Linked DNA regions of Struthio camelus. The protein of the gene in region 2 interacts with the protein of the main gene of each other region in a pairwise test. Links are inferred from orthologs where the notes say so. Each region holds a gene or a part of one and is shown on either strand. Other genes may lie near its edges. The genes, in order: U2SURP and RBM17.

The links.
Region 1: the proteins of RBM17 (region 2) and U2SURP interact in binary tests that used the Homo sapiens proteins (3 or more experiments, as listed by UniProt). The link is inferred for Struthio camelus from reciprocal best matches to the Homo sapiens genes RBM17 and U2SURP.

Annotation. Positions count from the first base shown.
Region 1 is NC_090950.1:15,664,127-15,671,970, reverse strand, and holds the start of U2SURP (U2 snRNP-associated SURP motif-containing protein), read right to left. Parts: upstream 3,132-7,844; 5' UTR 2,927-3,131; coding exon 2,882-2,926; intron 1-2,881.
Region 2 is NC_090942.1:4,586,260-4,593,790, reverse strand, and holds the start of RBM17 (splicing factor 45), read right to left. Parts: upstream 3,255-7,531; 5' UTR 3,123-3,254; intron 2,081-3,122; exon of another isoform or gene 1,942-2,080; intron 1,767-1,941; exon of another isoform or gene 1,630-1,766; intron 1,142-1,629; exon of another isoform or gene 971-1,141; intron 283-970; 5' UTR 265-282; coding exon 142-264; intron 1-141. UniProt on the Homo sapiens protein: Splice factor that binds to the single-stranded 3'AG at the exon/intron border and promotes its utilization in the second catalytic step. Involved in the regulation of alternative splicing and the utilization of cryptic splice sites.

The DNA.
Region 1 (7,844 bases), on a different chromosome or scaffold from region 2:
GTAGAGCCATCCAAGCAAATAACATTTCACTACATCCAGATAATAATTGGACAGAATCAATATCTGCCATTTTAAAATCATATCCTGACACTGACCTGCTGGGCAATCTTGGCCAACCTCTATTTTCCCCTCCTAAATTTGTCTGTCATTCCTATTTCACGTGCAGATTTTACTATCCTAATCTTAAAGTGACAAGGGGATAGATGATACTCTTGCAACACATTTCACACAGAAGAATCTTTCAAATTTATTTAGAAGCTCTCAGCACCATAAAAAGTAGCTACCAACAGAGTCACACAGGCAACTGGTGCTCCTGAACAGGTAGCATCTCCCCGACAGTTTTCAAATAGTGAATCAAACAGATAATGCTTGACTGAATAATAAACTGGATTTTACCTTATAAAACAAAGTGATTGTCTAGACAGTGGCTGGACACTAAGACAGAAGAACAAACACCACATGTACTGAAGGAGAGAAGTCATATCTTACTATAACTGCTACACCATAGCTTTTAGTAGAATGCAGAAAATAAAACGTCATTGTGTTCTTCCGAGGATACAGGCTAGAAGCCAAGAAAGGAACATCTTGAAATTGCCATTAAAATATATCCTATGGAGCCTACAAGACCTATTCGCAAGACCTTGTTTGCAAGTACAATTACTCTTACAACATGCAAATATAATGCACAAAACAAAATGGAGCCTAGAACTTTGATTTTGATATGTAAGTAAATTAATTTTAAAAAAAGAAAATGTTTCATAAATAATTATTTTAAGAAATCAAGTAAACTGGTTATTTGCTTTGACTGTTAAACCACACATACTCATATACAGTCAACTAATAATATTGATCTTTGTGGTTGAACGAATAAGTTAACTACAAAGAAAAACTACAACTATTACAGATTTCAGCTCTGATATGTCATACCTCTTTCTACAGATATCTGAAGAATACCTATATGGATTTACATATCACATGCATTCATGAACTGATACACACACACAAAAAAAGACACCCTCCTGCTCCCCCCACAACAGTCACAAAGTTAAGACTAAAGAACACATATCCCAAGACCTAAGCACGTGCTATTTAATTTCACCTTAAAAAAAGAAGTTCTCCAAGGTCCATGTACTATCACTATTTTCCTTGGCACAAAAGAACATTAACAAGACAAAGAAGATCAGGAACCTAAACGGAAGGAAGAGAATACTGAAATACAGCATATACTTCTAAAGTAATGGGAAATTGGGGTGGGGAACTGTATGAAAATGACAAGATACAGGACCTCCTCAAGGACTCCAGCCCTTGAGAGATCAATGCCCGTGTTTAACTTTACGTTTTCTAGTAGTCCTACTAAGTTCAATGGGATGACTTCATATGGAGAGTTAAGCGTCTGCATACATCTTTGCAGAACAGAGAACTAAGACAGAAAACAATTCTTTTAAAATAACAGCTATCAAAAAAAAGTCATCTCTATAGAAATATTACACTGCCAAAATGACAAATCTAAGGTGTAACTATCCGTAAAAAGAAAGGGATCATATCTGAGTTGTTCTTGTGTATCGTGTTATTGGTTACAGTAACCAACAAGTTATTATTCTGTATCTAATTATACTTTAAAATCCCGAAATGTCTTATTCCCCAAAAGCCTCTGTCCATAAATTAAGATCTACTGTGCTATTAACCAGTAGAGATCTGTGTAGATCTTGGTTGCACTTTCAAGTCAAAGGTACGATCCAAAGAAAGTTTTCTCACAGTATTTGGAGTAATCATAAAACAGAAACAAAAATAACTCTCCTAAGGACACCAACTACTGGGTAAAAAAGGGTCTCATAACTATGATTCAGTTGGCTTCCTAACAATGAAAAAAAAAAAAAAACTGTTTTAGCTGAATATAAAAATGGGCAAAAATTATTAATCTGTATGGGAATGGAAATCCCTAAATCAGAATGTGGCTTCTCTCCCTTCACTGACTTACACAAGAAAGAAAGACTTGGAACAGTTACCAGGAAAAAGAGTTACACAGCACTGCCCTAAGATCTGCAACAAGACTGTTCAAAAGAGAACGTCACTAATCCTCAAACTGTCAACTGCCAAAGCGTCCCCCAAAATATATCGTCCTTCTTATCCTCTACTTTCTCGTGGCAGGGAAGGTGTTAGCGAGCAGGAAGTTCTGTGCTGTTGAGGGTTACTCACAGCACTGGCTTCTGTACATAGCTTTGGACAAGCCTGCCAGAATTCCTGTACGATTTGGATTTCTGGTCTTTAAATCTAACAAACAGTAATTATGGGAAACTGAGTAGCTACAGTGAAGACACAGTGCAACACAACCGTGATTTGGTGAAATTTATAATTACATCGCAAACAAAACAGGAGCCTCAATCTCACGTTAACCATTGCTTTCTCACTCGCAATTCAGAAACTGGCCCCAAGCAGGCACCAGGACCCCCAGCACGGGCGAAGTCAAACAGGAACGCGGGCGTCGGCAAGGCTCAGGCATCAACTAGCCACCCAAAACGCATTTCGGCGCCGTTAAAAGAGCACGGACCCCGCCTGCCAGCGCACCCGCTCCCTCCGGCACCCCGCGCTCCTCGCCGCCCGCCCACACGCCCCTCCACCCGGGGGTGCCGGAGAGGCCGGCAGGCACCGGGCCCAGGCCGGGCCCAGCAGGGGCGGCGCCCCGCGAGGGACGCGGCCCCGGCCCCGCCGCCCCCCCGGGCAGCGGGCAGGGGCAGAGCAGGCCGCAGCGCCCGCGCCTCGCGGCCCCGCGCGCCCCGCGGCTGGCAGGCGGGTGGGTGGGCGGCCGGGCGGCGGCGGCGGGCGCCCCCCCGGCGGCGGCGGCGGCGGCGGGCGGCGCGCGGGCCCCGCGGAACGGCCTCACCTTCCCACTGGCTTTCTGCGAGCCGCCGGGCGTCTTGTCCGCCATCTTGCTTCTCCCCTCGCTCAGCCCGGGCGGCGAGGAGTCGAGCGCCGAGTCCACGGATGGCGAAGAGGAGGGGAAAGGCCCCCGAGACGCAGGGCGCCAAGTCGATAGCCGAGCTAGCGATGGGGGGCGCCGGCCGTTGGCGCCGGCGGCGGCGCCCGTGGGTGGCGGGGACCTTGGGCTGCCCACGCGCGCCCTGCCCGCCCACGCGGGCCGCCCTCGCCCGCGGCCCCCGGAGCGGAGCCGCGCCGCGCCGCGGCGGGGCAGGGCAGGGCGAGGCGGCTCACGGCAGCCCGCGGGTCTCCTTACGGCTTCGGGCTCGTGCCCGAGGCCTGCCTCGTCCTCCTCGCTAGCTGCTTAGTCATGGCGGCCGCTCCTACGCGCCTCCCCACGTCTCGTTTTAAAGCGTTATTTCGTAACTGGCCTACGGTTTTGGCTCAGTCTTGGTCTAAATGAGTTAAACGCTGGAAAAGTTATTTTCTCATATTGCTAAGGAATGAGTTGAGAATTAAATCCAGGGAGGGCAAAGGCCTACCGTCAAGTCAGGCTGCCTGGCCTGCAGCAAAGCGTATTCCCCTTGAAGTACAGCCAGCCGTGAGACGGCCTTAGCGCGCAGAAACCCGGCTCTGACGAGCGTCGCTTTTCTTTGCAGTCTGGGTTTGTACAGTAGCATTAGACGCTGACACAGGTGCGAGCAGCTTCTCGCATCCAGGCCCAGCAGGAACTAAGCCCAGGTATTCTGCGAATAACTTCCTACAGGACCTCTGCAAAGAAGGTCTGTTAGTCAAGGACTAACATAGGCCCAGGAGCGCCGCGGCCAGCGCCATCCCTCCCCCCGCCATCCGTTCCCGGGGGTGTTAGCAGCCGCGGAGCCTGACCAGGTGGGATGCCCAGCCGCCTCCACTGGGCTGAATTGCAGCACCAGCAGTCAGACACCCACCACTTGTCACGGTGACTCGCTGAAGTCTTCCCACAGTGGGAAGGTAAAGGGTCTCTCTGGCAGAGGCCATATCCATTGCTACAAGCCAAAATCGTGCCGATTGTGTTTCCACAGTGGTGCGCCGAGGCAGACCAGACCGCACCAGCAGGGCTACATCCCCCTGTTGCTACCAGCCCTTTGGCTTTCACGGGGTATGTGGCCCATCTGGATTTCTTGCTCTAACATTAGCAGAGACAAAATTGAATGAAGTTGCTAGGCAACCCAAATTTGCTTAGCAACCGGCTGCATTAAGCCAGCCAGGCATAAGGAGCCTTGGCAGCCAGCACCATGAGTCCGCACCCCCTGAAACCGTTCTGTCCCTCCGCAGCTATTCCTGGGCACATCTATTGCCCCCTACTGTATACATATACAGACCCGTGCTGCTAATCACTGTATTTTGAAGAGGCACCAGCAACACTGTGAACCAATATGAAGAACACGTGGTCACGTATGAGAAACTCTAATGGAAGAAGGTCTTTATTCAGATACAAAATACTGACCTGTCTTGCCTGAGCAATGCCTATTTTGGCCTTTCTGTACAGCCCTCTTCATCTGTGGGTCATGTTCCTAGACACTGAGCATTGTGTGGTCATATCATCTGGCAGGTAAGATTTGCCTCTAAACACCTAACAAAGTGAAATAGAAAGAATATTCTTATAAACAACATTAAAGTACTGCATCAAATCTGGAAAAGCCCAGGAATGGTGAAGAGGATAGCACAACATATCCTCCATTCCTAGATTTGATAGCACAACACCACGACAATATTTTTAGAACATTGCTTAAGTAGAAATTATGACCCAAGGTCACATTGCATTTCACGTGAATCTTGCATTCCCTTGCTTTTATTGATTTTCATCATAGTAGGGTTAAGAGAGTACTTAAGGGAAAGACAGCATATCCACAGAAATGGATGAAAGCTTTAAATCCACTGACTCCGAACACCTACTCCCCTGTGAGCTCCAGTAGGGAGCAGAGTCTAAGCTAATAACCCCATTGACATGATGGAAGAAGGAGTGGGAGCTTCCAGAAGGGGCAAAAAGAAAGCAAGAGGGACAAGAAGTAGCGTCAGGGTAAAGAGGGCAGAGGAAATTGCATAGGATGAGGAGTTTAAGGGGGATGGCAAAGAAAACCCCGAAAGAAAAGGTAACGGAAGAAAAAAGAATAGTGAAAATAACACACTGGAGGTGAAAGGGAGACAAAGAGCAGATGCGGTAAGGAGGTCACACAGGTCTCAGTTCATGAAGGTACCTAAACAAATGCTTAACTTTAGGCTCAAAAGTAATTCTGTTGACTTTGGTGGGACTATGCGTACACCTAATACTTAGTATAAGGTTAATACAAGTCTTAGTGAGGAGTGGAAATAGGCCTCTCTCCTTTCACTACATCTAGATTAGATTACAGCTGCAGATCTTTCCAGACTGACTAAAGATCTCCAGGAAACTTCACCTGCTGCAGAAGGTATGCATCCCTCTTCTCAGGGAGATGATCTGATGTTACCCAGCTACTGTCCAGCTGTCTTTAAGGTGAAGCTTTAGATGCAAGTCTTTTTACGGCTCTTGCTCCATAAGAGATAAAAAAACCACAGGTGCTGAAATGCCATTTAAGTTAGCAGATCTGGGTACATCTACTTTCCTGAAAAGGTAGTGACCTTATAGCTTTGGTCATATAGGGTGACGTATAAATTTGAGATAGCAAAATGATAGCTAAAGAGAGCCGATTATAGTACAGGTCCTGTCACGTACTGTCAAAAGGGCTTGAGTAGCTTTACTAATTAGTGAGCAGACTGGGTGGAATTAACATTACTGCATTATGAAAAAGAACAGTTGATCAGGATTTCAAGGAAAGGAGAAATCTCACTCAAAAATGGAAGTGTCTTTGAAGCTACTCTTAGACTGTAGAGTGTGACACTAAGCTCTCCCACCTACAATCTTCCACTCAGAATGAAGCTGTTGATGTTATGGCTTTACTTCAGTTGGAAATTTCTGCTTCTCCTTCAATCTTTCCCTTTACTTCAGGGGCTTCCTTTACAGTCATTGTAATTGATTCCTTTCCTGACCTCCACATGAAGTCTTTCAGTAATGACCACTTGTTTATGATGGCAATTACATTTTTACAGAGAAATTTTATTAACATACTCATTTATTTGATTGCGGTGCTACATTTATTGATTATTGTCAGAAAAGAGCCTTGAAGTACGTTTCTGCTCTAGGAAATGACTCTCAAAAGACATCATGGAGTTCCTCACATACTTTTTCCAACATCTCACTACTGATTTTGCTCAGTTTACAAATAAAAGGAAGATTGTTTTCTAACTCACAGCTTTGCAAACTTAAAATGTCTGCTTTCTGAAAGGCAGGACAGACTTTTTTCTGATACGGATATCAGTAAAGACGATTCTGCTATATCAGTTATGTAGTGCCACCCGTGCACACTGTGTCCCCGGCCTGTCCCCCCGCAGCCGTGGCCGTGGCCGAGCCTGGGGCTCCGGCGCGACGTTGTTGCCAGCTCCATAGTGGCGCAGCGCAAGAGAAATCCCAGGCCCCTTTCTGATCAATATGTAAGAGCAGCGGTGTGGCCAAAAGTAAAAACTATATGTAACCATTTCTTGTTCCCCATGTGAGTGGCTTGTATACAGCAGCGCGAGTCGACTGGGGGGAAAAGCAGCCTTTTGAGGTCATCGTGCACTATCGCTGGCCTCCGCAAGAGGGCACATCCAGCGCATTTCCGAAGAAAATTAAAATTGCATGCCACCATTGGTGCAGAAACCTGGCGTAGACGCCGTGACATGCGGCTTTTAATTTCCTGAAGCTGCATTTCCTCTGCAGTCCTGACAGGCTTCTTAGTCAGGTATTTATTACCCAGCTGCACCAATCTGTGCATCTTGGTGCTCGTGCCGGGTGAATTTACTGCTGGTAGCACCGCACTGACTGTGAGATCATTACTCAAGGGATGGGTTCATCCCTGTTGTGTGTTATTCCCTGCCTACGCCGAGCAATGCCAGGCTGGGGGGCAGCAGCTCCGTCAGGGTGGGCCCGAACTCCCAGCTGCTGCTTATACCAATAACTCCCAGCAGAAAATAATCTCAAGCCTCTTGCAAGGAAACCTATAATCTCCATAGATGAGCTCCCAAATTCAGACTGGGCAGTGATATTACGTTGTTATATTATGATTTCTACCTTCTGAATCGATAGCTCACACCAAAAATATCAAAATTATTATTATTATTATTATATCTCTATAGATACAAATTGCTTTACATTCCAGTCAAGTAACTGGCTGACCAGACAGTACTACTGCAACTAAGACAACAGTAGGCTAGACAGAGAAGGGCCATGTAGCAAAAATACACATTTCTCCTTGCTCTTCATGCCTCCCTCCACCATGTTTGCAAAATAACCATAGCAAAAAAACCCCGGTAATGGATTCGGAGCTAAGGATCTGGAGACCTCTAGGATTCTTTAAAGAAGTGTTCAGGAAGTTTGCTGAGCTCCCTTCAGAAGGGAGCTGCGTTTTACTTGAAGATGCAGCAGTAAGCATTTGCTATCCAGAGCCTCATCTTCTGCGCTGAGGACCCCCCTCCAGCTCTGCAACCACCTGCAGCGCTTTGCAGTGCCAGTTTGGGGGAGGAGGAAGAAAGAAAACTCACCTTGGACGGCAAGATTTGGGGACAACTCCCTCAAACTTGTCCACAGAAACTTGTCCACAGAAAGGAATGGTGTTGGTCAGGGCAAGCAAGAGATGGATTAGGCAGGATCTAATAGCTTCAGAATCCAAGCCCCATCCTTCTCTTTCAGTTGTCCTACCGTGTTCTTGGGAACCACTTCAGCAGGTAGTGGAGTCATGGGATTAGCCATCCCTGACCTCCTTCTGGATTTTTTTTTTTTTTTACATGTTAGCGGACACAGATGCAGCAATGAGTTAGAAGCAAACCAGCTAGGG
Region 2 (7,531 bases):
CGTAGGCTCCACCCTACAAACTTACAGACAGATCATAACAAAAGGATCCCAAATCTGCATTCCAAAGTCACAAACTTTCCTCAGTGTTCCTAACACAGAAGTACTATCAACAACAGAAAGTAAAATTACTAAAGATCATACCTTTGCTTGTGTAAGAGCTGCTTTCTTCACCTGCAGTTGAGACTGCAGTAGTTTGAAATTTTTGGACCAGCCTTCTGTTTTGGAATCGCTGGTCTCAACTCCCAAGTCATCGTAAAGTGACATTTTCTCCTCAATTTAGAACTAGAGGACAAAAAAAAAAAAACCTATAATAAGTCATATGTCCAGTGCTTATTTGCTACTAGCTCGGTTATGTTTGTGCATCATATTTTTAATTAATTAATTTATTTATTTATTAAAGTCGGAGAGAAATCCCAGCAGTGACATTTTTCTGGTTAACGGCAGATATGCATGACTGCTCTGAGGCTGTATATAAACAATTATTTAAAAGGTAATAAAACGCTTCCATGAATACTGTTCAAGTGTCAATGGGTTTTGGAAACTTCCTAAAATTATTTTTGTAACATTAGGTTTGTAAAACTGTGGTTGTAACATCATCACTTCAAGCTTTTAAAAAGTTACACTGTGGTCCACAAAAATATTTCGAGGGTCACAAAGAAATTCTGAAGTATGACATAAACCTCAAGAGCTCCAAATCAGAGCATGTAAGAAGTTTTGTCTCCCTGACCTTAAAGTCTGCACAAATATATCAACATTCCAATCAGCTGCTTAAACTTCAGGATTTTTTGCAACATCATTGGGCTGAAAAGAAATATCTTTCTTAGAGTAATTACACTTGCTGGAGCACAGCCTGCCAGAGCATGATTAAGCAAATGTTTTCACACACTTAAAGCCCTCTCAAATAAACGGAATACGTAAACACACACATATAAAATTGGCTAGGTAACAACATCAATAACAGATAACATACATCACTGTCCACGTGATACATCATCTGACACGAAAGTAAGGAGAAAAAGCGTGCACGAATGAGAGGTCTATCACCTGCAGCAGCCTGTAGAATAACCTGCAAGCACATTATTTAGCCTCAGTTAGGCCTGGATTACAGTATCTGTGACCACCGCTTTAACTTCTTAATTTCCTGCAGGAGAAAACATCCGTAACGGAGTCAAGGACTACCGATAAACTGTCTGCAGTGAAACTGTACAGACATACAAGACTCGCTACGGAGCCCGCGCTCCCACAGATTTGACGGGTGCCTGTATTTGAAGGCACCTGCTGACACAGAGGAGCTGTCTGCTTATGTAGAGTTTTAAGGATTTAAGCAAATCTCAGATGGAGCAGGCAGCAACTGCATTACGATCTCCAGACATGGGGCTGTAGGAAATAATACAGCAAATATAAACACCTATATATTACTTCTAAGGTAAAATAAGTAAAAATAATAAAGAATAGGTGATTTCAGCCTGCAGAGGAACATAAACAACCGACGCTAGTTTACTGCATGAATATGGGGGGGGAGAGGTGGGTTTCGGTGGGGATTATTACCTAAATGGGCGTGGGGGGGGGGACAGGGAGGGATATCGCAAAGCACAGGGGAAGGCGACGGGGAGGGGGCACCACACGAACCCGCGTGCGCCACGGCAGACGAAGTTTGGGCAGCGAAAGGCGATTTTAGCCCCTCCAACCGCCGCGGCCCCCAGGGGCAGCGGCTCCGCGCCTCGGGGGACACCGCGGGCGGCGGGGCCGGGAGGCGGCGGCGGCGGCCCCCGCCGCGGGCCGAGGCCGGGCGCTGCGGGGCGGGGCGGAGGCGTTAGGGGCCCGGCCCCATCCCCGTTCCCCGCCCACCACCGCCGCGTTGAGGCGCAGAGCCGCCCGCTCGGCTCGGCTTAGTCGCCGGTCTGCGGGAGCCGCCGCCGCCGCCGCCCGCCCGCCGCTCACCCGTCACCGCGCCGCCGCCGCCGCCATTAGCCGGCCGCTGAGGCAGCCGGGAAGGGCCGCCCTCCACCAGCCAGCGCCCCCACCCCCTTCCGCGCCTGCGCACACGCCGCCCGCGCCTGCCTCCCCGCCGCGACGGCGCAAGCGCGCGGCTCGGCCAATGGGCGCGCGGCGCGGGCGCCGCCGTTGTACCGCCCTCTGGCGGGCGCGGCGCGGCACCGCCCCTTTCCCCGCCGCCCTCCGCGGCCGGGCGCGGCCCAGTCCGCGCCAGTTCGGCACTGGGAAGGGGCGGGGGGGGCCCTCCCCTCCCACTTCCTCCCCCCCCTCGCCCCTCATTTTTCGGGTCCTGTGACGCCCCGTGCGGAGGTGGCAGGCGACGGGCGGCTCTGCAACAGCCTGTGCGATCACCCTTATTTAAATAAAGCGCACGGAAATAAGAGAGAGACCTACAAACGACGTTAAACTTCGTGTTGGCGGGGGCGGTTTGGGCGCTGGCGGGTGGGCCGTGTAGCCCACGTTAAAAACAAACAAAAAAAAGACCTTAAAATCCCAGTGGACCTTAAAAGAGACCTTAAAATCCCGAGCTGGGCCTGCGTTCGCCACGTCGTCATTGGGGAAAAAACGAGCGATCGCTCAAGGAAGTTGCCCGAAAAATACGGCGGGGGGGGGGGGGGAGAAGCGAGATAACCTTCTGGTGGGGCTACGTTGGGGTTTGGGGCGGATTTAGCAGTTCCATCAGCAAGGGGGCAGGACGGTATCGGCGTCCCGGCCATCGCCCTGCGTTTTGCCTTCATGCCGCGTTTCGCTATACTGTGTTTTTGGCGCCTTGAGAAGTCTACGTCAGCCCGGCGGACGAGGTAACGCGCCTGCCGGCGTGTCTCCTTGGGCCTTCGGCGCCTCGACCTCATCTTCATTCCCGCCAAAACCAAAAACAAAACAAAACAAAACAAAAAAACAACAAAAAAAAGAATAATATGAGACTCTTCCGAGTTTGACGGCACAGTTGTGAAGCAGCTAGGAGGAGAGAAAGCTGACGCTCGTTTTGCTTCAAGCGTATTTCAGACGCCCCCGAATCATGTATCGCTCAGGCACGCTGGTTAGCGCCTGGCTCTGCCGCGGCTCCCGCTAACGCCGAGGTGGCTGGGTGGTGGTGTTACTGCAGGGTATTTGGCCGTTGAAAGTACCTGTAGTATGAGAGCATCGTTTGGGCCTGAAGTGGGCTGGATCGGTTGATTCCGCTGATCGTCTCGCTGCAGAAATCATTTCTGCTTTCCAAAACAGTCCCTGAAATGGCGTTATCTGTCCTCGCCGGGAGTTTATTCAGCTACGGTGATTTCTCCGCCTCTCCAGAGAGCTCATTTCGAGGTAATTCGGTAATTATTGCTCTCTGTGACAGTGGCAAGATCTCGTTTTTGTTGTTAATGGGCAGCTGTGTCCCTGACTTAAAGCCGGCAGAGAGTGAATTCAGACGCGTTGAGATTTCTAAGAATTATGGCCACTTGCACCACGTGATAAACGCTGTGGAAATAAACATTCAACCCTCTCTGCAAAACACAGCAAAACCTCCAACCCCAAAGCAGATAGCGTTGTCACTTCAACCTCAAAACTACAGCCTTATCTCTTTGTTGATCAAAAAGTCCTTATCTCCAGCATTACTTTTGACTTTGCTACTATGCAATTAATTCCCCATGCTTAAAATTAAAAAAAAAAAAAAAAAGAGGTACCAGTGAGCAAAGCTACTACTTAAAAAAGTGGTAGTTTATTTTAAGTTCTGGCCTGTTCTCGGCTCTTCCCATCCTACTTAAGCTGGTGTCTGCTAAGGGGATCTTTGTAGGCAGTGTGTTTCCAGATGAATCTATTTTAATAATAATAGTGAAAACTTCTTAAATGTAAGAAGAATTTTTCTTCGCTTTATTCAGGGAGGATCATCCAAGCAGGCTTTTGTTCCTTGCTCTAGAAATGCCTGCATTTTTAAAGGAAGAGATTGATATGATACACATTTCTCTAACTTTGTGCAAGAAAGAAAATCAGCAGGATACTTGAATACCAATTTCATAGTGACAGAATCACATTGAGCAAGGACTGGTGTTAAAGAAAGGAATCAAATAGTTAATTGCATTAAAATGTACTGCAAAAATCACTGTGGTTTGAAATTCAGCACCTAACAGCACAGAGCAGTATCACAGCATGATAGTCACTGGGAAAAACTCAAGAGATCAGAGTCTGCAAAGGCAGAAAACATGATAATCATCAGAGATTTCAGTTACTCCTGGGAAGACTGGGAAAATGCACAACAGGAAGGGCAAAGGCTAAATTATTAGACCCGTAAATAGCTACCTATTAAAGCAATTAGTCAGATAATTCGCGAGTGGGGAAGCAGCTCTTGATTAAGTCCTGGAAAGTGCATTAGGCGTGGTTCAAAATGTGTCTGTCATCATCTGTGGCAATAACCACCATAGACTGCTATAAGACACTTAAAAGAGCAAAGAGGCCAACAACATCCATTGCATTAATTTTGGCAGAATTCTGGCTGACGGCATGGAGACCGTTCGAAGGCGTGATCTCAAGTCTGCGTTGGCGAAACCATCCAAAAGAAGGGCCCTTGCACAAACTGAGCCCCTGCAGACAGCACATTTGATGTCGCGCGCCATCGTGCCGTGCCTACATCTTGCACGAAAGGCTGCGTCTCTCTGCTGAGGATTGCTGCTGGGCCACACGCGTCCTCCGGAGAAAGTATGAACCAGCTGCGAGCAGGTGGAGAAGTCGCACCACGCTGCAAAGTCTGAAGTCCCTGGACAGTCTGGGAATGGAGGACACCCTTGCCAGGGTCATCCCCAGTCCTTCATATTGGGGAGGTGGATGATAGCTTGGACAGACGCCTCTTTTTCAGCTTTATCTGCAAAGGCAGAGAGGGTGAAGGACATCCTGATGTATGCCAGTGGGGACACTGTGCTGCAGCTCCCGGCCACTTTTCTGAGACATCTGCACCCTGAGGTCAAACCCTGCAACTTTCTATAAGCTGTTTAGGCTAAATTAACTCCATGGCAGAGTATTTCCTTGGCAGACTATGTGCCAGGAGGGTGGCGTGGAGAAGAGCTCCAGATGGGCTCTCCCTCTAGTTGTAAGTGTCCCAAAGCCCAGAGAATGGCAAGCCCATGAGGTCCTTTCTGATGAAGAGGGGATCCATACCCCACAGCCTGTGGAAAGGTCTCTGGGGGTGAAGGCTGGGAAGAGTATCAAGGATTCAGGGCTGCTCCCGGTGGTGCCTGAGGAGCAGATGTGACCTGGTTTGTGCCATCCCCACTGTTGTGAAATTATTTGAAGTGCCTGCTACAGGGGAACCATCGCTGGGTCATCTTGGGCAACTTTCACCGTGCATGAACGGGCTATGCAAGCCAGACATACACAGCTGAAAGAGTACAATGCACATCTTTGCTGATTGACACACACAATAGATGGACAGGATTTAATGAGGTAGTGGGCCAAGCATTAGCGTGTTCATGGCTTCAGTGAGATACCTGAAGAGCCTTTGCTGGCGAGTCAGAGCCAGCTGGGGCAGCATCAGCCCTCTGCTGCCTCCAACAGACCCTCGACAGGGCTGAGTTGCCCCCTTCCAGCTACCTGTTTTTTCCTTCAGGATTTTAAACCTTTCCATGTTCATGTTTTTTCTCTTGAATCCCGCTAATGATCTCCACCTCAGCAGTCCCACCTGCCCTTCTTATCTCGCCTGGTTCCACTCTACGCCTTTTCACACAGCTCTTTCTCACAATATGGCAATTTTCTCAGCAGTCTGAAACGAGGTCATGCGGTTGGGCCATACCAGAGCTGGGTCCAGGATGCTGAACTCCTGGCAGAGGAAAGAAAAGGGTATGGAAGGGTTATGGACAGCAGATTGCAGCAGATTGCAGACAGGACCAAAAGGCTACGAACAAATTCTGTGTTTTCCCCGTTGTGGGCAGTGAGTGGCAGAGTGCCAGGGGCCTGGGTTAGGCCCCCGCAGCATAATGATAAGCAGCCTGGAAAAGGTCTCAGCAAAGGTGGTTATATTTGCCGTGGATTCAAAATTATTCGGAGTAATCAGCCAAAAGCTGAATGCAAGAAGTTGCAGAAGGATGGCATAATGCTGGCTGGGTGATGAGATGGCAGATGGGACCCAATGTTAATGAATGCAAAGCAGTGCACGCAAGAGAAAATAACACTAGCAATACACACACAGCAGCAGGCTCTCAATCAGCTGTTACCATTAAGGGAAGAGATGCTGGATTCACTGTGGATGGTTTTCTAGAAAGGCCAACTCAGTGCTCTGAAGGAGGCAAGAAAGCAAACAGGCTGCTAAGAAGTATTAAAAGAAGAGAGAGAGAGAGAGAGAGAGAGAGAGAGAAAAACAGAAAACATACTTGATATAAATCCACAATGCACATGCAAAGGTGCCTCCTGGGTACCTCATCACTTCCAAGTAGATGCAATGCAATGCAAAAATGTACAATGAAGGACGACAGAGATGTCATTCTAAACTGAAGGAATTAAGATGTATCAGCTGAAAAGAGACAGCTGAAAGGTGCTATGGGAGCATCCAACATCACAAGTGGTACAGAAACGGTAAAAAGGGAGTTCTCATTTTTCTCCCTAGACGTGATCTCCAAGAAGGTACAAAACAAACAGAGGTGTAAACTGTGGATCTCGGTGCCAGGGGGCACTCTGGAGGATAAAGGGATCCAAAAAAAGATAGGAGACGGTCCTAAGGAACAGGGCCATTCGGGCTGGTAAACACAGTGGTCAAAGTACAGTCTGTGTCTCAAAAATCCCACTAACCCACTGATTGCTGGAAGCAGGGCAGAGTTACTAGAGAAAAAAAAAAAAGCAGTCCATAAATTCCATGTTTCTTACAAATTCCCTTAAGCTTAAGCCATTTTTACCAGACTTAGATTATTTGCACTGTATTTTACAGATAGACCTTCTGAGGATGAGGCTTGCATGCTTAAAGCCGGGTTGCTAATATGCCAAAATGGCATTAGAGGGCAGTGCATCTCAGTCTACGGGGAGACCTTTGAGGTGGCAAGGGATGGCTGCAGTAAACCCCCCAAAACCATCCACAAGGCCCCCGGGGAACAGAAGAGCAGAGTGGTTCCCACCCACAGAGGTGGGGGCGAGATGCGAATCGCAGCGGGGCACACGCGAAAGAAAGCTGAGCTTGGTCAGAGGAACGTCAGTCAGGTTAGAATAAAGATGCTTAAATCACGTGGGATGGAGGGATGATTTCCAGCTAACGGTGCGGGTCCTAAGCAGAGAGCAGACCCACCCCACTGCACACCTGCTTTTTGTTAATGGTCCTGGCAGCACCTTCAAAACTTTATGAACTTTTTTTCTTTTTCAGAAAATACCCACTTGATTATCACTGCCAGCTTCACAGTGACCTTCAGTATGGCCCGCGTGGCAAAATGAAATATGAAAATGACGCTGCCAGAGGGAAAGCTCATTCATTCATCCTGGCTTGGGAAGATCGGCTCGAGTTTGTTGGATCCTAAACCAACATGTTGGATCCTAAACCAAACACAATGTGTGATGCCATGGTTTTGCTGAAAGGTACCACCCT